Linked DNA regions of Rhinolophus ferrumequinum. The protein of the gene in region 2 interacts with the protein of the main gene of each other region in a pairwise test. Links are inferred from orthologs where the notes say so. Each region holds a gene or a part of one and is shown on either strand. Other genes may lie near its edges.

Region 1 (16,959 bases), on a different chromosome or scaffold from region 2:
AGGAAGTAGGGTGTAACACATACAGTAGCAGTGTTTCCATTCTGCAGATGAAGAAACTGAGGCCAGCACAGTTAAGTGGCTCATCCAAGTCACACAGACGAACCCCCAGCTTCTAGTCTAATTGACTTTCACTGGCTCACACACTGATTCCAACAGTAAAGTAGATATGATATTTACCTGTGTCTCAGGACAGTGTCAAAGGCAGAATCAAAACAAAACAGAAATGCCTGGGCTGGGGGAGTTCAGTCCCCTGAACTGTAGTGATGGATCTGCTCATGTCACATGTAGGACTTGGGCAAGACCCTTAGCCCCAGTGGCCTTCATGTCCCACCTCCCCCTACCCCCATTCTGCAGGTGAAGGAAAGCAGGACCTCTGCCCCAGCAGCACTGAGGAGTCTGCTACAGTCTGTGGTAGGCACGAAGGAAAGAATAACGGGGAGAAGGTGCTTCAAATGCATGGGGTTTTCCTCACAAGGTGCAAGGCAGGAAAACAGGGTGACATGGGTTGGGCTCCTTCTGCATGTGGGTGTCAGGGAGGAGATGGTTAAGGAGTTTTGACATAACATGGTGTTAAAAAAAAAAAAAAATCTCAGCACATCCATATAACCAGCCACAAGTTTTGGAAATGAGGAAAACCATGGTGACTAGCTTGAGGGAACTTAGCCACCAACGCAGCAGAAAGCACCACCTGCTCTGACTAACAGGTTCCAGCTACTAAATGTCACTTGCTTTTCCACACTGACTTTTGCTTTTCCCCAGCTGCTAGAAACGATTTTGGTGGCCAAATTAAGCCATGTATTAGGAAAAAGAGGTGAGATGTTTCAGAGTTAGAGGTGGGACACAAACAGAGCTCTTCTGATTCGTAAGAACAAGCAAGAACTGACCCCAGAACTGCCCAGAGGCCAGATGTGAGCCAGAAAAAAGAGCTTCCAGCGTCAGGTGCCCATACATGGGGAGGTAAATGAGGGAAGGTTGCTGTCTCCTCCCCTGAAACTATCTGTAAGGGCAGGAAGGGCTCCGTCTTCTTTGGGTGCCATCATCCTCTCAGGAAGAAAGGGTGGACTAGATGTTTTCTGAAAGATACTTCCTGACAAGGCTGTGGTCTCTGAACAGTTAGGCTTCATCCGTTTTCCTCCCTGGGTGTGGGTTCCCCAAAGAGGAAGTTTGCTCTGAAATCTGCAAACACAGCTGCATGAGGCCAAATGTAAAATGCTTCAGGGTACAGAGTCCTTGCCACCCTCTGATTAAAAATAGCCAATGTCGCTCCGAATTCCTACAGGTCCCTGTGTTCCTAACAACTCTCAGAAAAGCTGAAAGGATCTTAAAGTCACACTAACCCACAGCTAATTATCCTAGCTGGCCGATGACTGCATGTCCCTTCCTCCCACCTGGGTTTGAAACTCCCTTTGCCCCTCCCTCAAAGGTCTGGCTGTAACGGTTCAGTGGGGTGACTGGGTCACCATGAGCCTGAGCCTTAGCAAGCCTAGGTCGCCAACGTTCCTCTATTTATAGGGTCTCTATGGAAACAGGGCCAGCATGAGAGAGCTAATCACTGTAAAAACCCACAGAGTCCTACTCTCGGGATACAAAGTGGATTGCGGAAGTCTCTGACTGCCCTGCAGAAGCCTTGGTTGGGGAGCCTGGGGTTAGCACAGGACAGGAACTGTCATCCCAGGTTTGGCACTGAGGGCCACAAGGAAGAGTGAACAGCTGATCAGGCCTGTCTGGGGTTTCTATTAGAAACACAGTGATAAAGAATTTTGGAATCATTTCTTCTCCAGCATAACAGCTGACCTCAAACCAGGAGCAAATGATTTCCCCAATCCCAATTTTATTTTAATTCCTCGTTTCTTTCCTCGCTTACAGAACTCTGGCTGGAGCCAATGCAAATCAGGAAAGGTGACCTCATCTAGTAGCTCTTTAGGCAGAACAGACTCAACAAACACCAGCAAAGCAGATCGTGATTCAAGTTACCTGCACGGTGTGCCCTCTCTCTGCCTCCCCCTCCAAAGAGCCCTCTCTGACCATCCCAGTCCGTAGTGAGCGCACACTCTGCTTTGAACTCCACAGCTCATTATCTGCAATTAATCGTGTACTGCTTGTAACATGGCTTCTCGTGCTCTCAAACTGTCGTTCAACTTTTTACCGTTTTTTTGTCATTCAGCTTATGGACAGAATCCACAATGAGAATATGAGTGAATAGAGGGCAGGAGCTATACATATATCACCTATATCTTTGTGTCCTTAATATCACCTGGCAGAGACCTCAACACAAACATGGCGATTGCTACTTAATTATGTTTATTTATTTTCTGAGTGGAAACTATCCAAGTCTACAAAAATCTACAAAAGCATCTCTAAAAGATGATTTAATTCTTAGACAACTACTTTTCCAAATATTCAAAATGCTCAGTCAGGCAGCTTTTTCTTCTGTATAACCCAGACCCCTCCTGCTGCATTTTAAACCCTCATTTCTGTCTATCATCTTAGTAACTGCCAAGATTGAGCTGGCTTGGAAGAAGATGAACACAGACCCAGGAGCCCAAATGTGTTTACTGTACTGTATCCACACATGGCTTAGCCAGGGCTCAGGTCCTTACAGCCAGCTTTGTTTTCCAGGGTGGACATCACTCAGTTAACTTGGCTGGAATAAGAAAGCCTTTAACCATTTGGTTTGAAAAGTCAAATATTTTTCTCACACCGTCACAAAACATATCTGCTTTGTTCTAACTTCTTAACATGGAGAGAGTCTTAAGTGTTTGGCCGATAAAGATGGACCCTGTACAGTCAGCCTCATTCTAAGAATGACCCTCCGAGTCTATGACATTTATTAGAGAAGAGATGAAAATAGATGAGTTTTGAGTTGGCCTCCAAGACCACCACCGAGAAGCCAGCTAAGCTTTTTCCCAGCCTGATACCCACACTTTTAAACTTCACCCCCAAACTCAGGTCCTATCAGGTGTTTCAATACCTTGTTGGGGAGAGATTCTTATTAATGGGATTGGCAGTTAAAACACAATTAGAAAAAAAAGACACAATTAGATATACAAAAAGGACATTCTGTGAATACTGAGTCTGCAGTACAGTTCCCGCTAGAACTAGGCAGCTGGGAATTCATCTAGAACCCAGTATGTGGCAGAAGAACAGACAGCGTCCTTTGCCACATGCTTTCCCATCAGTCACGAGTTCCTCCCGAGCCCACGTACAGGGCTGCTCTGAATATTACTGAAGGCAGAAGGGTGAGAGTGGGCAATCCTGGGCCTCAGGACTCCTACCCTCCACATGTTAGGTGCAGGTGGGATAAAAACAGGCGACCTCAGCATTCTCACCATCCTTCACTGAACTATGACCATTCCACTCAAAAAGGACGCTGGTGCTACCAAGAACCTGGCACTTGCCATTTCCCTTCCTCCATTTGGAAAGCCCCACTCCTCTTGTTTGATCATTGACATTCCACCCTTTCTTTAATATCTTGCTCTATGCCCACCTCGCTCAGGACATCTTTCTGATTAACCCCGTATGCTTCTGACTTCATCGCATGATGCGTTAAGTACCCTTAAACTCATGTGTCCTTCAATGGATTACTTGCTTGCAAGTAAGTATTTCATCATGTTTGGGAGCTTACCTGCAAGCGAAGGCAGTGCTTATTGCCAGAGCTAATTTTGCATTTCCTTGTTCTTAGGTCTACCTCAATTCTGCCTCCCCTGATGAAACCTGTTCCGGGCTCCAGCTCCCACCTGAGATTGCAGGAATGTTCAAGACTCAACATATCACTTCTAAAGTAGCACCAGGAACCTTACAGTGCAGCCAGGCCACGGAGAGCCACACTCTACCATCAGAACTTCCCCTCGAGCCCCAGAGCACACATATTCCGTCCTACTCACATTCCTATGAATAGCTTGTCTTCTCCTCCACTGAAAAAGTGGAGAAACTGAGACTCAAAAATTTTACCAAAACCCTAAGCCTTAAAAATAAAAGTAAATCAGGGGCGGCTGGATGGCTCAGTAGATTAGAGCGTGAGTTCTGAACAACAGGATTGCTGGTTCGATTCCCACATGGGCCAGTGAGCTGCGCCCTCCACAACTAGATTGAAGATGAGCTGCCGTTGAGCTTCCAGAGGGGCGGCCAGATGGCTCAGGTGGTTAGAGTGCGAGCTCTCAACAAGGTTGCCGGTTCAATTCCCATATGGGATGGTGGGCTGCGCCCCCTGCAACTAGAGATTGAAAACGGCAACTGGACTTGGAGCTGGGCTGCGCCCTCCACAACTAGATTGAAGGACAACAACTTGGAGCTGATGGGCCCTGGAGAAACACACTGTTCCCCAATGTTCCCCAATAAAACTAAAACAAAAAAAACTAAAGAACAGAAAAACCAGCAGAGGCTTCTTGGGAATGCTAATGTTCTCTTTCTTGATTTGGGCAGTAGGGAGATGGGCTGTCTGTTTTGCTACTGTTATTTAAAGTGGACATATCTTTTCAGATACTTTCATATGCATGTCATATTTCAGTTTAAAACAGTGCCTTTCCCACTGAAGGTGCTCAGTGCCTGTTGACCCATGATTCTTCTCCAGTGGGCTTTCTACAGGAGTGCTGAAGGAACACGGGCCATTCATGGGGGGGGCGGGGGGGCAGGCTGAAGCACCAGCAGGGAGAATCATATAGAATTCAGATGTGACTTTCCTTCAGCTATCTGGCTCCTAATTGCTTTTCCTGACCTTCCTAAATCGGCATGAAGACCAGCATATGATGGGAATGGAAGAACACCAGTCAGAACCCAAGTGAGTCTTGGGTTAAAAGCACATTAAACCAGGACTGGAATAATGGCATTTTAAGCCCCAACCCGACCTTTTTCTTGCAGGAAAAATAGGAATGCTGCTCAGAAATCCCTGGGGAAATTATTCGCAGGGGTTTCGTGAGGGGAAAGAGAACCTCAGGGAAGGCCTCTGGCCAGCACATCCAGAGACTTCCTTTCAGGAAAGGCTCAATTCCTCCAGTTGTACCAGAGTTGGGTGGGGAGAGGTGAAAGTGGGGAGAGAGGTGGTGAGGTCAGGGGTTTCTTCCCCTGTCTTCTGGCTTCTAAAATACATCAGGATAGAACCAGCTGACTTATGCTTAGCCACTCATCCTAGATCTCAGCAATATCTATAACATGCTGTATTTTTAACAGGAATGTATGCTCCATGTTCCTTTCTGCAGTTTTCCCCTGAGCTCCTCCCCACTCCCATTCTCACTGGAGCTGGCTGAGTTTTCTTGCTGGAGAATTCCAGTGTACTTTTGGTCAGGCAATACTCTCTGTGACCAGAAATCCTGGCATGGCATACGTCCCATGTAGCAGGGAATCTGGTAGCAGCAAAGGACTGGATAATGATGACACATGAATCAAGACATAGGCTCAAGGGGTTAAAGAGGAACTGGGGGTGTGACTCTAGGTTATTGGGCTTCTGCTGCAGGAGTGTCTAATGAGATCTCCCCAGGTCATGCCAAGTGCGAGGAGTAGCTGAGAAGGCCCCCAATATAGCTGCATAAGCCTCCTATGGGGCAATGTCCATTTTCAGGTTACTTTTCAGTTACAGTTTTATGTATTTGTTTGTTTGTTTGTTTATTTTTAAGGAGGGTACAACTGACAGTGGCCCATGAGGGGATCGAACCAGCAACCTTGGTGCTATTAGCACCATACTCTAACCAACTGAGCTAACCAGCCACCCCATTCAGTTCCAGTTTTATGATTGCTCTTTTAAGACTGCTGCTTAACTGTTTTTCCTTCTTTTCACTGGCCCGCCCCACCCCATAATCACAAATCCCAGGCTACTGCAGCAGAAATTTACAGTGTAGATTGGGGTGCTCCACAACACTGAAGGACCATGGAGGGAGACCATAGGAGCTCCTGGCACCTCCAACTGCCGCTAGTGAGGGCATCATTCGGATCTCTGGCAAAGACTAAAATTCTCTCCTCTCCCGGCAACCAACCTCAATGGAGGTACTTCAGACAAAGCCTCTTATTTTCTTGTCGTTTTTGTCAAGATGATTTCCCCCAAAGCACTTAATCCATCACAATGCCTAGAGCTGTTACAAGAAAATAAAAGTGGGATTAAGGGACCAAAAGTTCCTATCTCCAAAGTTTAAAATGAAAACAAAAGCAAGCCAGAACTGCTGGTCCTACCTAGGCCAAACACACGTGTGGGGTGGGGAGGTGTTAAAAATTAAATTTGCTCCTTTTTGGTACAACCATCAAGTCTAAAACAGGGGTGATAGCTTCTGCCCAGTGCTAGAGCCAATGACTGAATTTTTCCATCACTAGCAAACTGTGCCAAACACTGGAAAACAACTTTTCCAGCATTAGAGAACATGTTCAGACATACTTCAATATTCCTAGTCCCTTTCCCCAGAAAAAGGCTCAGAAAAGTTGAGTAATTTGCCTGAGATCACACAGCAAATCAAGTTGCGATAGCCCCTAAGCTCATGTCTTGTTCTGAAGTCCATACCCTGTAAACATGTGAGAAAGCTGACAGAGATAAACGGGAAAAGCCCCCCCAGTCTCCCGGTGCTTCCACTGAGCAGGCAGCAGCTATGTTTTTTCCATTTAGCTGCCATCCTGGGTCAACATAGCAGTGATCAACCTTGGTGGTATGTTTTCTTGGGAGTGGGGGGTATGACTCCTTTTCTCAAACCTGGTCTTAATTCTGGTTCAGGGAAGTTCAGTATTTAATATCAAGCGTAGAGTTGTTGCTGTAACTGCCACAACCAGAATGAAGGTGTCACCAGAGAGAGAGACAGAGGTATGATATAGGGTGGAGGGGAATGAGCTTCTTCAAGCAGCTTTATCTACACAGACAGACACTGCAGCCCCCACTCCACAACCAGCTCACCTATCCTCATGAAGGGAACCGAACTGGGAAAATGAATGGAGCTGGCAGTTTACTAGAGCTGTCATAAGAGCTGGAGCATGAGGAGTTTCCAAGGCTGCCCCTCATGGACTCAGAGCGAGGGTCCCATCTGGTCAAGAAATCAGGGTTTTCTGGCCAGACTCAACTGAATCAACCCAGAATGAAGCTGAAGTCTGCAGCAGAAGGCTGGCCCCTACCCACATCAGCATTAAGGACACCCCTGTCCCTTTACCATCTCATTTAAAATAGGACCCACACCTGAGCACACAGGGTGGGCTCAGGGGTGACAGCTGGGCCAAGTGTCCTGTTACAGCCTAGCCAGCAGAGCTCATCTTTAGACATAAGGCTAGTCTCGAACCTCTGAAAAGGGCAGCAGCAGAACCAGAGGTCACATTTGAATAACTACTACAATTTTTTAAAGTACGCACAAAGAGTTAACTGTCCCCCTTCTCACCTCTCCCCAAGGAACACAAACAGGTAACACACACACACAGGTTAAGAGCACACTCACCTGCGCTCTGACTTCCTGACTCTGAGCCGCTCAGGCCAAATGAGGAATGTCATTGGCTTATTCTGGTGAGCTCCTTAGTGGCTGCTGCTATAGGATACAGGCTTTATTTAACATAACAGAGTTCTTTGCTCCCCTAGCAAGACCTTGCACCCCCTCTGGAGAAAATCTCTCTGAGGCATCAATTTCCAGGGTATCTAAGTTCCTTCCTCCGGCTGACATCATGTCGCTCAAGCTGGTGGGGAGCTGGCTTGAGAAGCCTGAGCGTGCAGTCCCTGTGGCAGCTCCAGCAAAGGTGCATTATTTATCCCAGCTGCTGTTTTAATTAATATAGAGACATATTCAATACAGCTCCATAATAGTCCCGGCAACCTCAGGCCAGGAAATAAACAACTCCCAGCTGCCTGTGATAGGCTCTTTCCGCTTCTGGTTCTAACTGCCGGCTCAGCATGTGTGCAACTTGAACCGAGGCCCCAAACCAGCCCAAGCACCAATCGGCCACCTGTCAGTTCTCCACCCTGGGGGTTGGTTCCGCAGGCAGGCAGGGATCTTCAAGCACTGGCTTAATCTCTGGCTCCACCTAACGGCAAGAAATCCACACTCCCCTTTCACAGATGGACAAACTGAGCTTCATCCAGGAAGGTCCCAAAAGGAGGAAACTAAAACAGCAAAGGAAACTAATGGTCCTCTGCTTGGCCTTCCACGCTGTCATTTTCTTCTCCTATCATCCTACAAGAGGGAAAGTGATGTCAACTTTTTAGTTAGCTTCTTGGATTTCTCCAGCCCTTTGTCTGAGAATAGTACTTCACACACATCATTCAAACAATCTCGGATGGGTGAGTCACTAGAATGTCTGCTGAATAATGAGGAATAAACAGAGGCCTGAAATGGAGCTGAACGACAGAGGCACAAATGGTACCTGACGTCCAGCCCAGTGTTCTGGCCCAACATCCTCTCTGACCTTTGCCTGGCTTCCCCATCACTTGTATCCTGTTAAAGCACTTCTGCGTTGAGCGGGAAAAGCTAAGTCACTGGCTAGGCTGGCCAGGGGAGGGTCTGTGCTCACCTTTAAATCCGGAGGCTTGCTTCGGGGACCCGGGTTTGGCGCCACCGCAGCGCCCATGTCCGAAGTTGGCCCGCCAGCAGAGTTAGCACCCGTGGCCTCCCCAGGCCGGAGTTCCGCGCCCGGCAGGTGGCAAACGGCATCTTCCAGGCCAGCTCCATCCTCCTCGCCTTGCTGTTGCTGCAGCTCATCCGATTTGCACCTCTTCATGATGTATGTGGGGCGGCCAGGGGATTCTGCCCTTCTAGAGCGCTGTCCTCGGGGAGACCGCACCCCCTTACACTCAAAAACGAGGCCCAGGGTCTAAATGATTAACGAGGAAAGGAATCGGCGGAAGACAATTTCTTGAATTAAAAAATAAATCTTTTTAAAGAAGGGGGAGGAAGGGGCGAGGAGGGGGAGCGTTGGTTACAGCTTGGAATAGTTCATTACGACCTGGGGAGCGAAGGCAGGGCACAGCCGAGGCTGGGCAGCAGGAGTCCTTGGGCAGTCATTGGAGCGGGAGGAGGAGGACGGTCCCTGGCCCCCGAACTTTCTGCTTCAGGGCATAGGCAGGACGGGGGAGCCTGGAGGCACAGCGCATCCCTCCGGGTTGCCCGGGCTCTGGGCGAGGCAGGGCAGGGGGCAGCCGGCCGGGCAGGTCCTCCGCGGCCGCCCTCAGCGCCGGCTGCGGCCCCCGGCCCTGCCCCTGGCCCCCGCCCCGCATGGGCCGGTCGCAGAGTCCGCCGCGAGCCCGGCCCCCTAGCTCCCCGCCCGCGCCCGGATCCCTGCGCCCAGCTCCCCACCCGCGCTCTGCCTGCTGCAAAGCAGCGGTCGCGGCCCCAGCCAGCGGCAAGCGCAACCTAACATGCCGGTAAGGGGAAGGCGAGGCAAGGAGGGAGTGACAACGGCAGTGGGCCAATGGGAAGCCCAGAGGGCCGAGGGGGCGTCGCGCGGCCACGTTTTAGGGTTGGTTGCGCCGCGTGAGCCCCCAGGAGAGGACTGGAGGACTGTGCTGCTGCGTGTTTGCGCTGCGGAGAGCGGCTGCCGAGTTGAGGCGGGGGCGGCGGGCCACCCGGGACCGGTATTAACAGATGCCGGAGGGACCCTCCCGGTAAAGGCACTCTCCGGATATCCTCCACCCACTCGTTTTATTTGGTGGGTAGGGGGCTCAGTAGGGATGCTTTCTCATCACTGCTTTTTTTGCTCTAACTTTTCAGTTCATGTTATACTATACATCCCTTCAATGAGGAAGACCCCATCCTTTCTAGGAAACATGGTCTGAAACACAAACTTTTGGCTATATTCAGCGCTACAAATGCAAAGGGTGGAGGTGTTCTTCTGCCCCATCTCTCCTTTCCCCACTTTAAGTAACTCCAGTATGAATCTTAGCTTGATGCTCAGAAATGACAAATTAAATATATTTGAATACAATAATGTGTGTGAAAGTTCCTTGCAAACTGTGAAGCAGCTCTTAAATAAGAAAGGGTATTAAATGGCAGGAGATTGAGACATATGACAGAGAAGGAAAAGAATGCAATCTCTTTTTCCCATAAATCTCAGCCAAATTGCACTGAGTAATCTGGAGGCAGAAGAGAACAAATACTGGGGTTATCAAAGTATGGAGCCTAATAATAACAACCCCCCCTGAGTGCCTACTGTATGCTTACTGGGGATAGGAGTTTTTGCCCATCCAGCAGCCTAAAACAGTGGTTCTCAAAGTGTGGTCCTGGGGCCAGCAGCATCAGCATCACCTGGAAACTTGATAGAAATGCAAATTATCAGACACCAGCCAGACCTACTGAATCAGAAATTGTAGGCCCAGAAATCTGTTTTAACAAGTCGTGCAGGTGATTCTGACACAAGCTAACATTTGAGAACCATTGGCCTAGACTGTAGTGAAGGAGCCATTAGTCAGTGAGTCACACAGTGATGATCTCTACAGCATTTTACAGTTTACCTATCTCTTTTACACCCATCATGCTATTCTAACCTCACTTCAGTCCTACTAGTCTGTGAGTTTCCTGACTCTGTTCTGTCTTTTTCCCATTCCAACCACTCATTTTGATGTGTATCCTAAAAGAGCCTAAATTGTTAAGAATTTACTTCAGTCAAGCAAGCTACTTTCTAAACTAGGCAGCTCCATTTTTAGAAGATGGGAATTGAAGATGGGCTGGAAATGTAGAACCACCCCCCACATCCACTACACAGTGTTAGACACAATGTAGAAACACAAGATATGAGCCTTAGCACTTTCAGTGGTGAGGGAAAGGCAGAATGCCTTGAAGAAGGAGGCAGAACTAGACAGAACCAGTGGGGGCAGATTCCCAGGTTGCAAGATGTCAGACAGGTGTCTGCTGCCTGACTGGCCTTGAGAAGTGGAGGAGCCCCACAGACTCCAGGCGAGTCTTGGGTATCAAGCAGTGGCCAGCAATGGTGAGCACATGTTTATGACCTGCCTCTAAGCTGAAAAAAGTGGAGGAAATCGGTGTGAAGATTTAAGGAAGTGGAGACCATTAAATTTTGACTTATGCCTCATTTCTATACTAGACTGAAGTTGGCCTCAAGTTTGGTTTTTATATTATGTATATATAGCATGATGGCCAAATTTCCTATTTGTGGCCATATTTAGCAAGGTATAATACAGGTCAATAAAATGTCTGTGGTGTGTTTCATGAAATCAGGTAATACTTTACATTCCATTTAGGAGAGGCAGACTCTCGTGGCCAGACTGCTAGGGACAAATCCTGGCTCTGCTCTCTACTGACCATTGGAGGCAAGTTGTCTAACCTCTTTATGCCCAAGATTCCTTATTTGGAAGTGGGAATACTGATGATACCTTAGACAACCTTAGAGGGTGTTGAGTAACATATGTAAGGTACTTAGACATTGCCTGGCACAGAATGAGGGCCATACCTATAATCAGAGATGTCATCCAGTTTCAAAAGCATCACACATTCCACTCCAATGGTTCTATCCTTGGGAATTCATTTAAATGTATCTCACCCATTACTGACTTTAACTGAGTGTCATATTATAGAACAAATTGCTGAGGAATTTGGGTGGGAAGTATATAGAGTTTGAAGCTGAGAGCACATTTTCATTAGCCATAGTAAATTCTTGAGTACCTAAGATAAACAGAATCTGAAAGGACTTTGGTTGAAATGTTGTTTAAAGGATCTGATCATTCTATTGTTTTAGGCTTCTTTGGAAAAATATAGGCACATACTATGTTTTGATGTTCAAGATAGGACAAAACGTTGCAGATTTACAATGCAAGAGATTACATTTGGTATGTAGGAGTAGGATTTTCCATTCTGCTTTGGCACCACTAGTTAATTACAAATAAATAACATGGTGCAGTAAGAAGGACACTGGTCTTGGGGTTAGAAATACATGTAAGAATTATGGTTCTGTTACTCCCTGTGTGTTCTTGGGCAACGAAATCACTCAACTTCTCTCACCCTTGGTTTTCTCATCTATAAGCGGGACTAATATTACCTATCCTCACATAGTTATTGTAAGGATTAAACTAGATAATGCATGTGAAAATGCTTGACGCATAGTGTGTGTGCCCAGTACACTTGAATGAAACAAAGTTAGTGAACAAACGTGTCTAACCCCCTGTCTGCCACATGAGAAAGGCAGAATTGTCCTACTAAACTTAATGCTATTTGTGGAAGGAAATCCCAGTTAGGCTAATGAAAGGGGGCACACCTGGTGGTATCAAATTTGTTAAACCAGTAAATTGTATAAACAAGGAAGGCAAAGATCAGGGTTGTGGAATCCTGTTCCCTTGTCAACAGCCAGTTCATTTAGCTTGATAAACTGATTAAGTTTTAATAATAGAGGATAAGTTGCCAAGATCAACAGGTAAGCAAGGAGTAGGTTTTGGGTTGTTGTTGTTTTGTAAAAGCAATTAAGTCTGAGAAATAAAAGCCTTCCTTTTGCCAATAGTAAGAGGCTTGTAAATTATCCAAGAAAATTGTTTCCTACTTTGTAGGAATTCTTAAAAAAAATTTTAAACATCAAATGAGTAGGTAGTTTTCAAAGAACTATTTTAACATACTACGTAGAGTGTTTTCCTTAGAAGGTGAAAGCACTCTCTAGAGAGACTAGATATAATAATTTGGATCACTGTATTTTGATACCAACATCATTAAATATACTCCTTTGTTAATGTGATTTTCCTCCCTTTCTTTTGGAGATTTCCACTTCCACTCAATGCTCTCCTTAAAAGAAATTGCGTTCTGCTGGATTAGGAGGAATAAACTATGCAAATAATCGTCAGGGAGATTGGTTAGATTGTTGATGATGTCACAATCCCACCACCAAAATACAGGCTTTTTATTGGCTATTGTAAGAGGCAGGCAGGACTGGGAGGGCTCTCCTTCACTCCTGAGTTGGAGCTAGCTCTGAGACTAAACAAATTTTATCCTGTTGTTTGCTTAAAATGTACTCAGAAGCATTTTTCATGTTATTACATTTTTCCATGTTACTCCATTTGCTACAACTTGGTCATATTTCCATTTTAAATGACTGTTTATCATTCTATCAGGTGAATATACCACAGTTTATTTAACCTCTAGCCACCTTATCCTTAGAGAATTGTTTCAATTTTTTGACTTCAGAAATAAAACTGTAATTACTATTTTTATTCAGAAATTGTATATATTATTCCTCCACAGCATAGAATCTCTGGTACCTGTCAATGTTTTAAAGGACTAAACGAAACAAACAAAGTGCCCCTCTAGTGACCATTTCTCTCACAACATCCCTAAGACCTGCATAGGAGACCCCAGGGTCTGTCTGACTCCGCACTGGTGAATCTCCTATTTGTACTACAAAAAGCTGGAAGTTCCTGCTTCTCATTTCAGGTAGGGTGCGTATTCCTCATTCTGCATGCTGTTCCTCCTCGGTAATCGGAGAAAAGTCACAATCATCGTGACCACGAACAGAGGAGGTTTGTGAGGCATAAACTTAAACCCTGATTGTACTGCTCTGTGTGAAAGCCTGGGGCTGCTAAAATGGCTGCTTTGTGTCCTTTCCCATCTGCATAGGGAATCCTTACAAACCTCTGGACAATCTGTTACTCAAAGCTAAAAATGCTAGACCTAAAAAAAATAAGAAAGAAGAGGAAAGAAAGCAAAAAAGAAAGAAAGAAAATAGCTTTGCTCAGAGAGAATCAGTTGTTTATTATTTTACTTCTGAAGATAAATATCAGTGTCAGTTCCATCTATTATTCTATATGGCACTTTTAGCTATAATAAGAGCAAGAAGCTACCATTTAAAGAGAACCACAGATGGTAAGCATTTTGCTAGGAACCTTGTGAACTCTCTTACTTAATCCCCACAACAACTCTTACAAAGGCAAGTGTTATTCCCACTCTACAAAAGAGGAAACAGGCTCTGAAAGATTATAGTACTTTCATAGGCCTGAGATCTGCACTGTACTCTGTCTCCAACCCTAAAGGCCTAATATCTCATCATTTCTTGACTGTAATTCTGACCCACTCTTGTGACAAAGAATTTATCAGTGGGTATTAGTCTACAGTTAAATGAACCTGCATTCATTCAAATATATTTATGAAACATATCACGTACAAAAGCTTTACAAGATGCCTGTGGAAGGTAGAGAACAATAAAAGACATTGGTCGCTGCCTTTCTATTTTAAAAAGTCCGGTTGGGGAAATGAGACAAATGAAATATAAAACAACAGCACAAGATTGAAATGGTAATGTCTGTCAACACTCTGAGAGGGATATAATTAATTAGCACAGTCCGGAGGAGAGAGACCTCTGTCATCTCATTAGGATGACTCTAAGGAAGAATTATTTACACACAGTCATCCTTACCATGATTGCTGAAAAGATAGAATGTTGCTTTAGGATGATTCTGAAGCCTTTACGTAGGTAAGAACTATATAAATCATCTTGAATATAGAATCTCTCAGTATATGAATCTCTTTAATTTTACATCTGCATGTTACAAGGATTTTATGGTGTATTAGTGATGGGAAATACAGTTTTTATTTTTATTTTTTGAGACCACGGGACAGTGTTTCTCAAAGTATGGTTCATGGGCTACCAACAGCATAAATCACCTTGGAGTTTAGGTAGATAATACAGATTCCCGGGTCCCACCCCAAACTGATGGAAACAATTTCTGGGGATGGAGCCTGAAAATCTGCACTTTTAACAAGTGTCCTAGGTGATTCTTATGCACATTGACATTTGAGAAACACTACACAGGAATAGGGGAATACTTGGTTGATCACATTTATTGATAGATTTGTGAATTAATAATATCTTCTATTTATTGAGCACTGACTGTATGCCTGGCACGCACTCACATTTAGTCTGTAAAATGAATGTAGTAGGTAAGTATCGTAACCTCCATTTTACAGTAGAAGAAACTGAGGCTCAAAGACAATTAAAAACTTGCCTGAGGTCACCTGGTTAGAAAGAGCTAGTCAAACCAGTTCTGCTTGTCTTCAATGTCTGTACTTTTCCCACAATGCCTACTGCAGTTTTGCCAAGGGATGGAGTGCCTATTATATGTGATATAATTTCAATCCAAACCTTTCAATACCCTCAAATGGTACTCTTGTCATGTAAGATAACTCAAATTCAGAGACATTAATCAAAGACATTGATATGTATCTCAAAATTACCTTCTACCGGTTGGAACAGAGCTTTCTTAGTCTAGAATGGCTTTTCCTCACTTTTGCTTCCTCCTGCCAGTTCCTAAAACCTTTTACAGGTCTGACTGTTGGGATTTCCTTTCTTTGGTGAAATTTATCCTAACATTTTGCACCTACTTTGGAATGGCACACCATGAGTTGGAGTCTAGATTTCCTTTCTAACAGCTATCAGAACTTTTCTGAACACAGAATGAGAGTTACAGTCTGAATCAAGAGGGAAATGTCAGTTGCTTGAAAAACCTTCTGCTGATCTTGTGACTAAAAAGAGAAAAAGACAACTTAATCAGGGAAGCCTCTCCTGGGAAAGGGAATCACACTGTCCCATGTGAGATCTCATTCTGGAGCACGCATACTTATAAGTCATTTTCAGGGAGTCTCAGATGGCCTGGGGCATACCCAAGTAGCAAGAGAGACAAAGGGCTATTTTCACGGGTGAATCCACCCAGCCTTGCCTTGTACCTCTCACAGGGTGCTGGGGAAAGAAGATAGTACTCTCTTTGAAGATGCAATGACAGTACAAGTCAGCAATATATAGCTAAAGCCATATAAATGTCTGTACCCTTTCACCCAATAATACCCTCCTGGGCATTATCCTGGAAAAGAATTCAAAAGGAAACAAGCAACAACACAACAAACAAAAATGTTCATAACGAAAATCTGGCACAACCTCCATGTCCAAGAATAGTGAATGGCATAATAATACAGTGGAATGTTATGTTGCTATTAAGAGAAATACATATAATAAATACACATAAACACAAAAAGCCTTCTTTAAATAATGTAAATTGAAAACATTAGAATGTAAAACTGCATTGAGCTACGAGTAGAATAAGGGCTTTGGAGTCTGATGAACCTGGATTATTAGCTGTATGGATCTCAATTTCCTTGTCTATAAAACAGGGATAAAAATATCCATCTTTTCAGGGTTGTAAAAATTAAAGATGGTATAAACTGTATGAATAAAATCTGGATGAACCATGGATAAGCGTGGGAAGGGAATGCTAAGAACCGTTAAGTTTTACACTAGAATATTGGACTACTGAAAATTTTATTTGAAATGAATTTATTTTTATGATGTTTTAGATTTAATACTATTTTTTCCTTTATTTCTCTACACCCTTAAAAAATTTCAAGTTTCCTATGCAGGAGATGTGTGCACATGTCATCTGGAAACTTTCCTAAATGGATCACTATGCCCTATCTTTTTTTTTTCTACTAAGCCCTATTTTGAGAAGGCCCTTAGATCAGTGCTTCTGCGATCAGCTCTAGGAAAATGATAGAAGAAACCTGCCAATACCATTTTCGATGTCACCTGACACATCGGAAGGTAGCTTAGCTAGGTTCCAGGGCCTGTTTTCCAAGCACTTAGATGTTTATGTGAAGCTTGTTAGGTAGAGCTCCCTCTCTCCTCTACAATTTGGGGATGGGGAATGTTCTCACGATCAGGATGTCTTCCATCCACCTTTGCTTCAGAATCCTAATCCTCACTTCCATTAAACCATCTCTGTTCAGAGCTAGATTCATGAGAAAGGGGGTAGGCAGGAAGATGATATGAAAGAAATGTTTTCTTTCAGATGACATATATTGAGCACACTTTGTTTCAGGCATTATGTTTGGCACATATGGATAGATACATACTAAGCCAGTTGGAATATGTTTCAGAAGTCAGGTTTCAGAATCTTCTAGAAAACCTCTACCAAGACAACGGTGACATAGAAAACGGTATTGGCAGGTTTTCATCTATTCATCTTCCTCCATCCAGAATCAGCCCAGAGAGATAAAAATTGCAAGGTTATATGCTGGGCAGGTAAGAAAATTACCC
Region 2 (16,424 bases):
TCATAGTCAAAGGTCAGCAACCTACAGCCCACAAGCAGATAAAAAATTATGGGACAATTTTTAATCACATAGAATGCAGTTGTTTCTGCCACGCTCTCCTACCCCACTTCCATGGCAAGAGTTACTTTTCATTTTCCATAATGAGAAGTGACAAACATTCAGTTGCAACCTTTGGCTTTGAAAATTGATTTCAAATCTCAAGAACTGAACACCTGCTGCCCCAACTCTGGCTCCAAGTTCAGATCTCTCTTCTAATTCCCTGGCATGAGGATCGGTGCATATTCAGGATTACCTCCTCATTCAGACTACCACAAGAAATAGAAAATAAAGCTACACTGCTTTGAAGGATCCCCGATATCTGCTACATATTACTCAGATACAAACATAGAAAACATCGCAGAAAACCAAGCATGTTTGTGTAGTGTGTACTAGAAAAGGAGACCCTGACACCTGGAGGGCCCCTGAACTTAGAAATGTGCATGACCTGTGCACTCCCCACTTTATGAAACAGGAAATCAAGACACATTAAAAACAAAGAAAAACTGCTATTGTAGAAAGATTATCTGTTCACAAATTATAGGAAGGAAATATAGTATGTGAAAACTAATTCTTATGGGGTAAGCTTTTCTTTTAGATCTTGCAGACTTCAAATTTTAATGGAGAAGAAGCAATTAGTAAGATGGAGTATAGAGTACACACTGTAGGCCAAAAAAGTGTTGTGTATTTCTAGATGCCTGACATGACAATTTTCATCAAGCTAAACGAGACATTTATCGGTAGTCCCAGGATGATATTCAAATAGGCATGGTTGATGCTAAGGTACTTCAAAGTTGTTAAAACTTGTTTCATAGTTCCCTGTCAACAGAAAGAATACCTTCACAGAGGTTACACTATCAAAATGCTACTTTAACTGTTTTTTGGATTCAAAATTCGATGATAAATATATTTTAAAATTTTCATAGCAGTGGCTTCCTAAGCTTTGGGAAGGGGCAGGGGATTAGGGAATGTGTGAGTCTCAGGAACTACAGGACCAACACAACTTTTTAAACCACCAAGTGTCTGATACAAGCTATAATATCAGGGAATCACAGAAATATCAAAAAATGGAGTCCAAATTGACTCTGAATAATTATGAGAAATTGAAGATTAACAGCTTCAGTTATGTATAACTGAGCTTGATTAATTTCTTCTCCTTCCTCCTTTTGACGCTTTATTTATGTGCACACATCACACCAGGGTAAACTACCCCACTGGATTCAAAAGCGACATTTTACCAAATTAAGCTGCTGTTACTGCTGTGAACCGATGGCCCATGTTCTCCACCCTGTGAATGGAAACTCTCTCAAAACTTGAGGGCAAGGGGTAGGAGCAGTCAGATAACCATGCACATAGGATGGTTCCCTGTGTAACCAATTGCCTTCTTGCAGCTCCCCCTGAAGCTTTACCAGCAATGTAGTAGTAACTGCTACATGCCATCAACATCATATCCTGAAAACGAACCTCTAATGAAAGACAGTAGCTTTTCTGAAGATAAATATAAGGTAACATTACACACAAATTTGGAACTATGTACAAGCAACATGGTTTGTGGAATGAGCACTGGACAGGAAACTAGGAAGTCTGAAGTTCCTATCCTACCACTTGCTAGCTGGGTCCAATTAATTCCAAACTGGCATGCAAAAAAATTACTATTATACTCAAGAATTTGTCCACCTTTTCCCAAGCTCCCTACACATTTTTAAAACCTACGTTATTTGGGAAAAACAGATGAATATCCATTTAAAATTTAAAGATGCTCACTTATTTAAGGAGAGTAGATACTGGAGAATAGACAAGCTTCCCACACAGTGAAGAGATTCAAGTGGTACAGCTGGAGAAGTTTGGTGGATAGAGAAAAGGAAAGCAACATCAAACATAAAACCAATCGTTAAGCAAAAACAAACAAGAAAAAGCAACCATTCTTCAAAATGAGGGAAACAAATAGCTTTACCCTGTCTTCCCTAGGTAATACCTGTTGCTAAGGCCTGTTGCATTGATGTTTTCAGAGATTCCTTTACAGCCTTTATTTTATCCAGAAATGTCAGATGGTAATCGTCTGATTGCTGCTTGGTTGACTGTATTGCATTATCCAACTGAGTCAGACTGTGCTTTTCAGAATATACTGGAGAATCCAGAGCTTGTTCAGGTAACATAATCTCTTCCAGAAGCTGTTCTTCCTCATTTATCTCCAGGTTTGAAGCGCTCTGGTCACTCTGCGCCTCTGAACGCACTTCGTGGCCCCCACCAGATGGTTCTGGTTCAGGCTCACTGTCTTCTGGTTCAGGCTCATTTTCTTCTGGTTCAGACTCATTGTCTTCAGTTTGATCTGACTCGGGAAGGTCTTCTGAGGGAACTGGAATAGTGATCGTCTCATAAACACCATCTCTTTTTCCTGGCGCATCAGGAATATTCTGAGCAGTAAATTCTTCCTCCTGATCAGACATTTTCCTGAATTGAGAAACATAATTTTTACTGTACATAAAAACTTCTACACCAAATATCAAATTCAATGCTGGCATACAGTAATGTTCATAATATACTATAATGGTGCTCATTATTTTTTTTAATATTGATTATCTTAGTAATGTCATCAGGTAAAAACATCAGTGAATTTTTAATAAGAACACGACAGAAAGTAAAAAAAATACACCAAAAAGAGAAATTCAAAGCACAATTTGAGAGAACTCTTCTGTGAAGGACATACTGAAAGCTATTTTAAAATATATTGTCATCTCTTCCTTATTCAGTAAATGTTTGTGAAAGAAGGACTTTTCGAATAACTGTTTTCTGACTACAAAACTAGCACAGGATTTATGCTCTGGCATTACAGTTGATTGGAAGCTCAGGGAACGTGCCAGTTCACACAGCAACTATATCCTAGGCAGTACACACTCCCTGAAGTAGCTTTGCTCGCACGAGTGGTAGCAGAGGTCTCCAATGACCTCTGTCCCCCCCAAAACAAATATACCAACAAACAAATGCGCGCTGATCTTAGAGCTGACTGGGGTCTGAGCTCCTGCAACCAAGAGCTGTGGCTCAGGAAACAGTGTGACAGTGAGCGTCCAAGGGCTGGGGTCAGGGTGGCCCAGGGCAGCCCAGAACCAAGCTGCAGAGGCAGGAGCAGTTCAGAGGAGTGAGGAGGCAGTCAGCAGGCAGCTACCAGCAGAAGCTAGCAGCCAGGAAGGGGGTACAGAGGGAGTGGCCTCCAGGCTGATTTCTGTGGCAACCAGCAGGGGGGAAGATGAAAACTTGGAACAGTAGTTGGGGGGGGAGGTGGGAAGCTGTGTTTGGGGCTTCTACTTTAAGCACAAATCCTTATGGAAAAAAAAATTAACCTTAGTCAGTGAAGTTCTCTGGCTACTAGATGACAGACTACCAAAAAAAAAGAGAGTATATGGAATAAAAATATATAGGTGTTGAATTCAATGAATTGAGTCGAAGAGAGAATGAGTAAACTGGAAGATAAATAAAGAGATTTTTATAGAGAATGTTTCAAAGAGATAAGGATGTTGAAAATATGAGAGATTAGAAGCCATTGAAAAGAGAAAAAGTGCAGTATATTTTTCTGCTAAGCATATATCTTATTGTGAGCTAAGAATGGGTTTATATTGCTAAAATAAAGAAAACAAAGAATATGCAACAGAGACTGCATGTGGCCTGTGTAGTCCTTTACAGAAAAAGTCTACCAGGCCCTAATCGAGCATATGTCAAATTAAAGTCCCAGAAGGAAACAGAAAGATGGAAGAAAAGAGATATTTAAAACAGTAATGGCTGAGAATTTTTTAAAACTGATGAGAAATGTAGAACCACAGATTCAGGAAGCACAACATAAATCTATACCTAACAGGATAAATAAAAATAATTCATAGCCATATACATTGTAATTAAATTACAGAATAACAAAGAGGAGGTCCAGAAAGCAAACAGTGATAAAGCACATACCACCTACTGTTTTGAATTATATTAATTTGCTGACATTAATACAGAGCAAAGAAAAGTAAAATCACTGCAGATTTCTCATCAGAAAAACAGAAGCCAAGGCAACAATGTGAATAAGACAACTATCAACCTAAAATAGTGTACCCAACAAAACTATCTTTCAAGAAAGAAATAGAAACGGTATAATAACTTACCACCAAGATATCTGCTGTAAAGGAACTTCTAAAGGATACACTTGAAGGAGGAGGTAAATAGGCCCAAAGGAAATCCGAAGAGCAAAAAGGAAAGGTGAACAAATAAATCATAAATATATGGATAAACCCAAACAAATATTGTCAACACAAAATAATAGTAGAAAATTAAAATATTAGACAAAATATGTAATTGGGAAGAGAAAGATCAGAATAAACAGTTCTCAAATCCTTATACTGTTTACAAAATTGGGGGATATGATATTCTTAACCCTAGACTTTGTTAAATTAAATATGCATAGTTAAATTTCAAGTACAACAAACAAAATAACTGAAATAAAGTTTTAAAATTCCAAGACAATAAAGAAGGAAAAAAGTGAAATAAGATAAAACTGAACAAAAATTCAATTTTTAAAAAAATTCAAGAAAGCTCTTAAGCCTTCACCCACAAAAAAAATGTTCCTTTTTGTTATTTTCTCCCATAACAGAGATTACGGCCTGATTAGAAAGAGAGTATCGTAAAGAAGCCCTAACTCCTAGCAACGGATTCATCTGCCCTTTTTTGGAGTAATGCTCTTGTTTGGCTCTATCTGCCGAGCCATCATCCCTCTAAAATGGCAAAGATGGAATCTTCTAAATCAGCAACAGCAACAAAATCAGAACTTCTGCTCAAAAGACACAACTAAACGAAAAAGACAAGCCATAGAGTAGGAGATATATTTGCAAAACTCATCTGATAAAGGACCTATAATCAGAATATATACAAAACTCTCAAACTCAATAAAAGTTTTTTTTTAAAAAAATAAAAGATTTCAATAAGACACGTCACCGAAGAATATACACAGAAGGCAAATAAGCAAGGCCAGATCTAGGCAAGAGTGGTGCTGCACTGAGAAGAAATGCCTCCTAAAATTTTGGACCTAGTTGCCTCAATTGCCTTACTCTAGTCCTGGCCCAGAGAACAAATATGCTCAATGTCATTAGACATTAGAGAAAGACAACGTAAATCACAATGAGAATCCATTACACACCTATTACAATAGTTAATATATTTTTTCAGTCCAACAATATCAAGGGCTCATCCAGGGACTCTGGTCCCACTCCCCGCACAAGAACGCAGGATATGGTGAGGTCAAAAAGGAACACCAACGGAGCCATGGATGGGGGTTCATACCACTATATTCCTGCTGGCGGCTGGTAGAGACACAAAAGCAAACATCTGCCAGCGCCCCAACACGGGGTCTTCCTGCACCCCAGTCTCGCTGGCGGCCGGGCAAGACACAGGAAGTAGGATCCACACGATGTGTAATCCACCATCCATGCTTGCTAACCCCACTTACTAGCCGCAACCCGCCGCCTGCTTCTCTGCCAACCAACCAACCCCTTGCTACTGCAATCCACCCCTGCTAGCTTACCCACGGCAGTTATATCAGTGGCTAATGGCTAACCAGTAACAGCTGATGGACACCCAGCTGTTGGCCACCTCACCCATTCCATGTGAGGCCGAGAGCCTGGAAACTGCTCTCTGGGATTCTATCCCCACAGCTAGTGAGTACGAAGACAAGTAGCTTTTATACCTTGATGGTGAAAATGAAAATTGGCATAGGATTTGGGGTAACTGTTTGTCAGTTTTCTTATAAAATTAAACATACACTTCATATTACTCAGCAATCTGTGTCGTTACCCAAGTGGAATGAAAAACTACATTCACATAAAACCTGTACACAAAAGTTTATAAAGGCTTTATTCTTAATCACCAAAGACTTGAAACACAAATGATCCTGAACTGATGAATGGATACACATACTGTGATGCATTCATAAAATGGAATACTATTTGGGGAGGCTGGATGGCTCAGTTGGTTAGAGCGCGAGCTTTTAACAACAAGGTTGCCGGTTCGATTCCCACATGGGCCAGTGAGCTGCGCCCTCCACAACTAGATTGAAGGACAACAACTTGACTTGGAGCTGATGGGCCCTGGAGAAACACAGTTCCCCAATGTTCCCCCCCAAAAAAAGTATCCAAGAAACTTATTTTTTTTAAAGGAATATTACTCAACAATAAAAAGAAATAAACTGATACACACAACAACATGGATGAATCTTGAATTATGCTAAGAAGCCAATTCTAAAGGCTACATACCATCTGATTCAATTAAGTGAAGGAGCAAAGCTGTTGGTGAGCAACCGCCAGCGCTCCTGGGGTGAAAAAACAGAAACTGCCCCTTGCCCCCGTGTAAGAGAAGGAGAAACTGAAAAAAGAGGCAGACCACTCCAGTTAGTAAGTGGCAGTTTTAATAAGCTACCGAATTTACGTAGGAGGCTTGTCTTGGGCAGCTGCAAAAGGAGTAAGTAGATCTCTGCAATCCCCACCAAAATCTTAAGAGTTTATATAGAGGCCTTAACCAGGCTGAGTTGAATACAGACCAGATGGTCTCAACAGCACATTACTCTCTCAAGGACTATTTTCATCCTTGAAGCACCTGCTACTACAGGACGGGACCCGTGGGCAGAACCTCCAAGGGCAGTGGAGGGGGTAAGGAACCTCCAAATGCTCCGTCCAGTTCCAGGGTCAACCCAGTCCCATCCTCTTGATGGCCTCCAACAGCACAGGCCGGCATGTATAACACAGTGTTACAGGCACCAGTAGGACATATTCGTACATGCACAGACTTTCTCTAGAAGGTGAACTGGAGGACGACGCGGTGGGGGAGTGCTTGGGTGGAAAGCAGATCTTCACTGTTCATTCCTTTTACTGTTTCACTTTTTGTCAGGTTTATGTATCATCTATTCAAAAATAAATGTTTTCATCTTTAAAAATTGTTTAAAAAGGCAAAGCAGTCTCTATGATGATTGCATACAGAAAAGTCCCCCTTTCACCAACAAAGCATGATGTCACTGGCAGATCTAGAATGTTAGTGTAAGTAGGAAGGCAGGGATCCAGTTCTGCCTTCTACCAAAAAAAGGCGTGAGTTTTAAAGTGTTTTAAGCGGCACAGCAAAGACCACGGGAGGAGAGGAGGGAGAGAGAGCCAGTGAGGCACGTCTGTAAGCCCTCTAGTTACTAAAGAATGAAAACGGTCACCATGGAAGGCTGAACATTGTCTAATGCCAGGTCTGGGTTACACACACATCTTGTTGCTACACTATGAAGGTGAAAAGCCCCAGGGGTGAGAGGGGAGGTACGCCTCCTAGCTTGCTGCTGCTGCTTCTGCTTCCGAATCCCAAATCAGAGCTGCGGAGCCAGAAATGGAACCAAGAAAGAAGGGATGCTGTGCACGGATTTTAAAGTACAAGTGGCACATTCCCGACGAGCCAAGCAGTCCCGAGTCCGGGCGGGACAAGCGCCCGGCACACGGTCCTCGGCGTCCACTGCTGCAGTCACTGACTCCAGGCCGGTCTAGGCCGAGCCAGCAGAGGGCAGCCAGGCTCTGTCCTCCTACCTGACCAAGACACGCAGCTACGCCGGTCGCAGGGCTTCCTCAAGCTCCTAGAAAGCAGCGTCCGCACTCCGAGTCTGTTGCCGGCGGTATCCCAGCAACGACCGTGGCACCACCTCCTCCCGCCTCCGCACCGCTCCCGCGAGAATAGGCGTTTCCCGAGCTGGAATGGTAGGGAGGGCGGAGCCAGGCGGCGAGGGGCGGAGCCAGGCGGCGAGAGAGGGAGGGTGGGGCGGGGCAAGAGGCGGGGAGTGTTGTTACTTGTTAGACCTCAATTATTGGACTCTAACCACTCTGCGAGATCCCTTTTAACACTTGTGAAAGGGCACAGTTCTCCGAGCCAAACACTGTATTTGCCCTTACAGATATAAAAAAATCAGGATTACAGAAAATATAAATATGTAATGAGAGTGAAGACTGACAAAGGAAAACACAACACAACAGTAGGTACCTACGTATTTTTGTTAAATTTAGAACTTGTCTCTTGGCTTCCTGGCATCCAAAGAGAAAAGGGAGACAGGAGCTACTAAATTCCTCTTTTAAGTCAGGAGAAGCATAGCTTTTGTTAATCACTAAATTATAAAGGCTTTTTTATTTTCCTATCACTATAAATTATTCAACTTGAAGTTTTTAAACTATTGGGGGAAAGTTATATTCCTATTGCAAATGTAGTAACAAACGTAGTGTCTATTTCATAATAATAGCTAACATTTATTATTTGTTACTAAGCACTTTATATTTCTAATTTAATCCTTACAATGATTTTAAGGAAAACTAATCAGCCCCACATTACTAATGAGGAAAAGGTTTAGAGGTTTAGTGAGGGAGCCAGGATTAAACCCAGCAGTCTGAATTCAGAGCCTCAATTTTAAACCACTATTCTGTGCTTCCTTGGTTAACATCCTTTGCTATTTAAAAAGGTTGTAAGATTAAATAATAAAATTAAAAATGTTGTTATATATAGTACAGTTCCATCCCTCCTTCATAATGTTCAATGTCTTCCCTCCTTTGTATCAATTCTACTGAAATTGCGTTCTCATCTCCCAGTAACTTCCTAATGTCCAATGTCATTTTTTCAGTCTTCATCCTACTTTAAAATATACTACTAGAAAAATACATATTATATTCAGATAAAACTGGCTTTAATAATGATTTTAAATAAAGCAAATGTATTTAAATCACTGCATGAATCCATATTTATGAAGACCAGACAAAAGGAGGGAAAGGACCATTCAGATAAACACTAGGTTTAGTCCTTTATGGGTAAAGCAGGTGTGATCAGAGGTGTGCAGACAAGTGCTTCCAAACACACCCCCACCCCCATCTCCAAAACCACAATATATCTTAATTTTACTAGTAATGAGAATTCCATTGGTTTTAAACATTCACCTTTCTGGGTCTCCTCTTTAAAATTTATCATCCACTGCCTTCCACGTTAGGGACAGTATGAAAAAAACTAGGTTTAGGCATAGAGGCAGAAGATGAAAGGAAGAAAACAAGGTGGTAAAGAAATTTAAGTACTTCAAAGTGTTAAATGTGACTAGATACCCACGATATGTTCACGTTTTATGTATAGTTTTCTGTGGAGATGATTTTAAACAACCACTTGAGCCTAACTTAATTGGTAGGCTTCCCAGATAGTCCATTCTGGTTATTACTGTAGCACATCAAAATCATACACACACACAAATATATACTGTAGTTAATTGGTTACATAAAATGAATGTAAATGCAAGCTGAAAACAACCAATGGGAAAAACTCTCCATTCTAAAAGTGGAAACGTAATTTTATATCACTTTCCATTTACTTTTCACAATAAACCTGTACATTTTCTCAGGATTTATTGCCCCAAATAAGTTATGTTTCTCACGAAACATGTCTTTATTTATCTCAGCACTTATTTACAAAATAAACATTTCTCTTAATGTGATTTTATTTTTACAAAGATGCTACCTAGTGGCTTTATGAAATCAAGCATATCAAAGTATTTCCCATTGTTACTTCAGACTAAAATGTATTTTGATGTAAATGAATTAGGAAAAAATATTAGAATTTAGAAAACCAAGGACTTAAAATTATGCTTTGGAAATTATCTATATGTATTAAATTTGGATCATAAATTTGGATCAGGAGCTTGTTAAGAGACTGGAAATAGCCAGTATATCCATAGTCCCTTTTCTGAAATCATAGGGACAGATGTGTTTGAAAATTGGGATTTTTCCCATTTTTAAAAGGTGTATTCTGTCACACATTCAGTGAGTCTGGAGAAGTAGAATCAGAGAAGCAGAATCAAATACATTAGTAGTTATGTGGCAAAATATATTCATATTCACATTAAAGTAGGATAAAGACTACTAATAGCCTTATGACAATTCTGGTCAGACTTTACATCCAATGAGTTATGAAAAAATATTCTGTTTTCAACATATTTGGAGTTTGGAAATTAAATAGGAAATTTTCAATCTGTTTTACCCTGAGTAAAAGAACCAACTCTCCTGTTACAGGAAAAGAAAAACAAAAGAGTAAAACGAAATATTCTGTCATAAAATAGTAATGTTTATCTTTATAAATGCCTAAAATGTTTATCTGGAAAAAATATTTGAAGATCATGAGAAATCCCAAAAAAGAATCTCTGCAATGCTTTTCATTTACAGAGTCATATACAGAAAAAACCTATTCCACCTAAATTACATTTAAACACACTGCAAAAAATTAGCTGGTAATATAAACCTAAAGATCTCTGAAAATTCATTATTAGCAATGCATGGCAAGATAAATTTGAGTTCTACAGCACATTCAAAATTTTTTTAAACTTGGTTTTCTTTTTTGTTTCTGTGTGTGATGTGTCACGTTCCCTTTCTCCTGCCCGTGTTTGTAGCCCATGACATGTTGACATGGCGCCATCCTCAGCCCAGATCCCTTGTGACTCTTTTGAACACTGTCAACCCTCATTAGACATGTACACTCCTATGAGTAAGAAACAAGCTTTCTTTGTGTTAAGACTGTGGGATTTGCAGGTAGCCTATGCCAACTCATTACTTTTCTCACTACTTTTTTTACTAACTAGGTTTCGCTTGTTACCTCTAAATAAAGAATGGAGTAAATTTCTCCAGTACCCATCAATAATTCAAATCCCGTGTCACATCCCCACTTTCATTTCTTGTGAATTCTTTTTAAAATAAACCTCTTCATCCTCTTCCAAACTCCTATCTTCTCATTTACTTTTTTCCTCAGAGTATTACTATTATTGGAGCACAGGTTGTAATCCCATTGAGAGCCAAGTTTGAAAGGAAATTCTGCCCTCAGATGCAAAAAGCATTCATGGTTCAGCAACTTAGCACTTTACCCTAGATCCTTATAATACACTTGTATGGGAGGGTTCTTTAACTTCTGTTTCTTTATATTAACTATGGAGGCTGGGAAGAAAAAGCTGGTATTAGCCTATATGTGCGAGTTTTCTCATACAGAATATTGTTGGTTTTCTCCCTTTGAAAAAGAAAGCATGAGGCCTGATATAGGTAACTGGGGAAATGGCATACAAGCTCCAAAGTCAACTCCTGTTGGAGAACATGTTAAGGAAGGTCTTGCAAGATTGGAGGTCTTGGTTTCTCAGAATAGTGAAACTGAACTCGTGTCTTCATAGAAGAACTCCTGGGAAAATGGAAGAACACAGATTGACTGGAATACCACTGTGGCTGTCAGATGGAATTAGAAGAACTGGAACAGTGGGAAGACCTCTTTGAAATGCTTGCTGAAGCATCAGGTGAGGAAACGTAACTTCTAAAGGCAACAGGGCAAGTTTCCACTGTACTAAGTCAGCTACTTAAGAATCTTGATCTCCATTTGATGAAAGACTGCTTTCCTTTTTATCTGGTATCCTAATCCTCATTGTTCTGCGTGCAAATAAACCTGCTTTGCATTGTAACAAAAAGCTCAGCTTCACCTTGCTAACTGCGCTTTAGGATTAGAAAAAGAAGTAAGACAATCAGAATAAGCGTCTTCCATCACTCAAATCTGAGGAAAAGGCAAGGAGAATAACAGTGATGGGGCCCAGTGAAACCGGAGGCCTGGTGGCACATGATGGCTGCCACTAATGGCATCATATTCATTCTATTCAGGTGACAGACTACTCCAACTTCGCCTGGTATAAAGGATGGCAACCCTCAGAGCTGAACCTTACTCCAAGTTGGTGTCTCAATCCAGTTTACTACTTCTGTTCGTATTTGTTCTTTATAGGTACTTTGACAGGATAACATCAAACCTGTTATCCTTATGAAATTATCACTTCCCTTCACAATCGAAATCATTACAGTTTAAATGAAAAGTCTTATGGTTATTCAGATACAAGTCATTTTCATCCCAAAGAACAGAATACTCAGAAATTTGAATATTCTGCACTCAATCCACAGCTAGAAGAAAGGGGGTATCTATTTTGCTGCCATTTTCTTTGTTTACAAAGCTCAAATGCATTAGCTTTTTCTTTTAAACTATCTGGAGTATGGTAATTAATGTAATTAACTTGAATAAAACATATGGACCTAGGGAGAGCTGAAATGGGCCATTCTGAAAATTACTCAAATTAGTCTACAAGCCACTTAACAACACTAAAGACCTTTAAATAGAAGAATCATCTCCAATTAATCAGGAAAGCTTAATCGGGAAGTTTACAGGAAGCAACCGGAAAGCATTTGAAGGGGTCCGGATGTATGGGCAGTTAGAATGGCAGTCAGTAAATGTAAAAGGATGGACCATAATGCCCTTCAGACACACCACTGGCTGCCTGTGATCCAGGTGAAGATGTTCGCACGAGATGAAGTCCAGTTTACTACGCCTGCTCATATGTGTTCTTTTTGATAGTCAGGAGAGCAGGATCTAGGTTGTTTTGGTGCAGCTCACACAGTACAGGCAGGACCGCCAGCATCCCAAGTATTCACAAGGCAAAATGTAAGGGTGAGAAGGATGAGTTCTGGAGCAAGACTGTCAAGTTCAAAATGTAGCTCCACATCTTAATAGCTATGTGACCTTGGGTACGTTGTTATACCATCTCTGTGCTTTAGTTTCTCCAAGATCCCCATGCTGCACAGTTGCAGGGGAGCACTACTCACACTGGATTCTGGTTTCCTTATCTGGAAAATGGAGATAATTTGCAGGATCGCAGTCTTAGAGCTGGAGTGCAGATTTAATGAGTAACATTAGTCAAGTACTTAGAACACTGCCTGACAAACATTAACAAACATTGGCTATTATTTTATTGCTAATACTCCTCCTATTCTATAACTAGCATTTCTAATGCAGACATCAATAAGGTCCCCTTTTATTAACAGCCACTGACGCTCTATATAAGATGCCCGAGAATAATGGGAGAAGTGGGCTGAAAGTACTGACAAAGACACATCAAGCCAGCTTTGTTTTTATGTGCCCAAAGGACTGAAAGAAATGATTAGAAAATTAGCTTGAAAGCATCTATGCAAACATGCTTTAGGATATTATTTTCTTAATAAATCTAATGAATTATGTCTTAAAACGAATATTTATAACCAAAAAGAAAGTTAAAAATCACAAATTCTACTTCTTTTACAGAGAAAGAAATAGGCATTCTGAGAGGTTGACAACTTACCTCCACTTAGTCATGGAGTTCATGACGGTGCCAGAACCATGGGAATGAGAACCCCTGGCCTTCCAACTCTCCCTCCAATGCTTTTCCCACTTCCCCCACGTAAGCCTTCTCTTATAGTCTGACTGCTAAAAAGTTAACTAAACCCACTTCATTTAATATTTATTTAGCATTTAATTTACAACTTTATACGGGGAGAAATATACTGGGGAAAATACAATTATTTTTCTCATTCTGAAAGATTCTGCCTTGCCACAAGAAATAGCAGGATACACATGCGTGCGTGCACGCCCCCCTCACCCGGCCAAAAGTACTATTTTTGAAGGTAAGAAATACCAAATTTAGCAGAATACTTAGAAATCATAGGGGGCTAGGAAGAAAAGGTGAGAACACACAAGAAGTAATTTTATTTTTGTTTGTCAACTGCTTCTTTCCTTGAACAGCTTTTATCTTTTTTGATATCCAGGTGCACTTATACTGGAAACTTAGTGAAAACTAGTTAGTGCTTCCACTTTCAAGTTATAACTATACAAAAATGTTTTGAATGTAAGTCTATCTGTATGCCAGATAAACTTTAGAAACTTTTAATATCTCCTCTTTTACAGAAATTTTCTATCTTGATGTAGTTTGGTTAATAAAGAAAACTAAAAGGCGAGGGTCAGAAAGCTAACTTCTTAAATGAGACAAAAGTTTTTCCAACTCCCGTGTTTCCCCGAAAATAAGACCTCACTGGAAAGCAAGCCCTAGCGTGACTTTTCAGGATGACCTCCCCTGAACATAAGCCCTAATGCATCTTTTGCAGCAAATATCAGCATAAGACCCAGTCCTATTTTCAGGGAAACACGGTACCACTATAAATAAGCAATCTTTCAAATACCAATTTCCTCAACTGTACAATGCACTCTTAATTTAACGGTTTTTACTCTTACTACTTCACTTTAAACAATGACCTATATAAGCAATAATAATGATAATAATAATAATGATACTACTACTACTACTAATAAGTACCTTTCTGTTTTTTTTTTCAGAATAAAAAACACTAAATGATGTGCTGAATACTAAAAATACTTCAGACTTCAAACATGGCCTCTGTGTTGAAATCTACAGGAATTTTTCTAATTAACCTCCAAATCTCCCACATCTGTTTGAAAAAAATATCATCTTTGAAATAATTTGAATGAATGCTCTATAAACCAAAACTGATTCGTAAGTTCCTATTACATAATCATCAATTTTAACAAGTCTCCTAAATATGTTTATATCAATTTTTTTGATTATAAGATGTCAATAACATGGAAACATTTTTGATACAACAGAACATTTAATTATATCATTTTCCTGTCAACACACAAGTCATTTAATCATGATTATATTGGCCATTTCCACTGGTTGGCAGGAGGCTCTTCCACTAAAGGCTCCCATGGTTTCCATTGTAGCATTTTTCTTGCCAGACTTAGTTCATTTTCAGCCTGTTAATAAAATTTTTTTAAAAAGATCATTTGATTATACTGTTTAATAGATAATTATCATAGATAATAACTGAAATGTAACTATATAGAGCTCCTACTTTCACATTAAAACCTAAATAAGCTACTCCATCATCAAATGTTGAACATTAATTAAATTACTGTAATTCTCACAGCTACGCAATCACCATAAAAAAGGAAGGACAGCTTTAGATTTCTTCTATTTGTTTAAAATTTACTATAAGAGTGTTCAAAAGTTTAGTTGGTGAGTTTTGAATCTTAATTGTCTGTTTCACCATCAGAACACAAATTCTGGAGGATCAAAAGTATGTCTCTTCATCTTTATCAATAGCTCTCCAACTTTATTTTACCCTGGCCCACAATTAAAAAAAGAAAAGAAATACATTTTACTAAGGGATCCACAATTCGCACATATAACTCAAACAAAACTAAAAATATCATTACCTTTACTATATAGCTGAAATACACTATTTTCTATTGTAGTTTTTAAATGCTAGTTACAAACCACCTAACTGATTTCATAACCCATCGTCACTGGAGACCACAATTTGTAAAACTGTGCTGTATAGAATGTAGAACAAAATAGGTGCACAAAAAAAATATATTTATTGTTTGAATTAGTTTTTTTAATCAGATTATGTTACATTCAATTTTTCCTTTCAAACACAATTTTACAACACCTTTAACAAATATATTTTTAGGTATCTTTTTATTTCTCATTTTTTCTTAGAACAAAAAGACCTATGGTGACAACTCTGGCCAACTTAAGACACTGTTGAATACTTGTCAGGATGTCAGGAAAGGAATTCAAACACAAAATAAATGCTGAGGTTCTATCAGAGTCTGTAAAGTTAAAAGGCAATGCCTCATTTATGCCACTGGTGCGAAACAGCCAATCTAAGTTTAGCAGTAACAGTCTAAAATGTATATAATCAAAAGAGTAGATTAATGGAAATCTGGGGGTAGAAGTATTTACTAAAACTGACATGAGAAAACTGCATAAATACTGATTTAAAATATCCCTTAGGATGGCCGTTTGTCTGATTGCCCTTTGCCCTGGATTTCCTGAACGGTCATGCTTTCTCTATGCCCCAAGCCCTTGCCCAGTGTTGGGAGGGGATCTAGCCCTGAACGTCACTGAGGTCGTCCAGGAGCTGGACCCAGCTGCATATGACCCGCTGCCCACTCCCTCCCTCTTCTCAAGCTTCTAATACACTGTCCTTTCCTCATTCTCACGGTATCCCTCTAGAAATGTGCTGTCCAAGATGATAGCCACTACCTACATGTGACTACAGAGTAAGCCCTTGAAATGTAGCTAGTTCAAATTCAGATGTGCTGCTAGTATCAAATGCACACCAGATTTTAAAGACTTAGTATTAAAAAAGAATGAAAAATAGCTCAATATTTTATATTATGTTTCAATAATATTTTAGATATATAATTACATGATAAATTAATATATCAACTAAACTAAGTCATGATCAAAGTGAAATCAGGTAGAAAAGAAAGAGAAATAGGACGAGGACAATTAAAGTCTGCAGCAAGTTCCCATAACACTACATCTAGTACTATAGTCAACCTGGCAAATAAATAAAAAGGCCATGAAAACAGGCATTTGAACGACTGAAACAGTGTACACGCATTGACAGCTGTCTGAATGCCCTATTCCTCTTTTAACAGCCATCTACCAATGCCTCCGAGTATCATGTCTG

What was found.
Region 1: the proteins of IQUB (region 2) and TMCC2 interact in a two-hybrid assay, tested with the Homo sapiens proteins (2 studies listed by BioGRID and IntAct). The two-hybrid records come from large-scale screens. The link is inferred for Rhinolophus ferrumequinum from reciprocal best matches to the Homo sapiens genes IQUB and TMCC2.

What each region holds. Positions count from the first base shown.
Region 1 is NC_046305.1:25,947,416-25,964,374, forward strand, and holds the start of TMCC2 (transmembrane and coiled-coil domains protein 2), read right to left. Parts: upstream 9,142-16,959; 5' UTR 8,890-9,141; exon of another isoform or gene 8,758-8,889; 5' UTR 8,665-8,757; coding exon 8,458-8,664; intron 8,121-8,457; exon of another isoform or gene 7,395-8,120; intron 1-7,394.
Region 2 is NC_046309.1:20,956,191-20,972,614, reverse strand, and holds the start of IQUB (IQ and ubiquitin-like domain-containing protein), read right to left. Parts: upstream 7,694-16,424; 5' UTR 7,611-7,693; intron 2,488-7,610; 5' UTR 2,484-2,487; coding exon 2,012-2,483; intron 1-2,011. Other genes in the region: NDUFA5 (NADH dehydrogenase [ubiquinone] 1 alpha subcomplex subunit 5), read right to left, coding at 14,593-14,694. UniProt on the Homo sapiens protein: Adapter protein that anchors the radial spoke 1 (RS1) complex to the A microtubule of outer doublet microtubules in axonemes. The triple radial spokes (RS1, RS2 and RS3) are required to modulate beating of the sperm flagellum.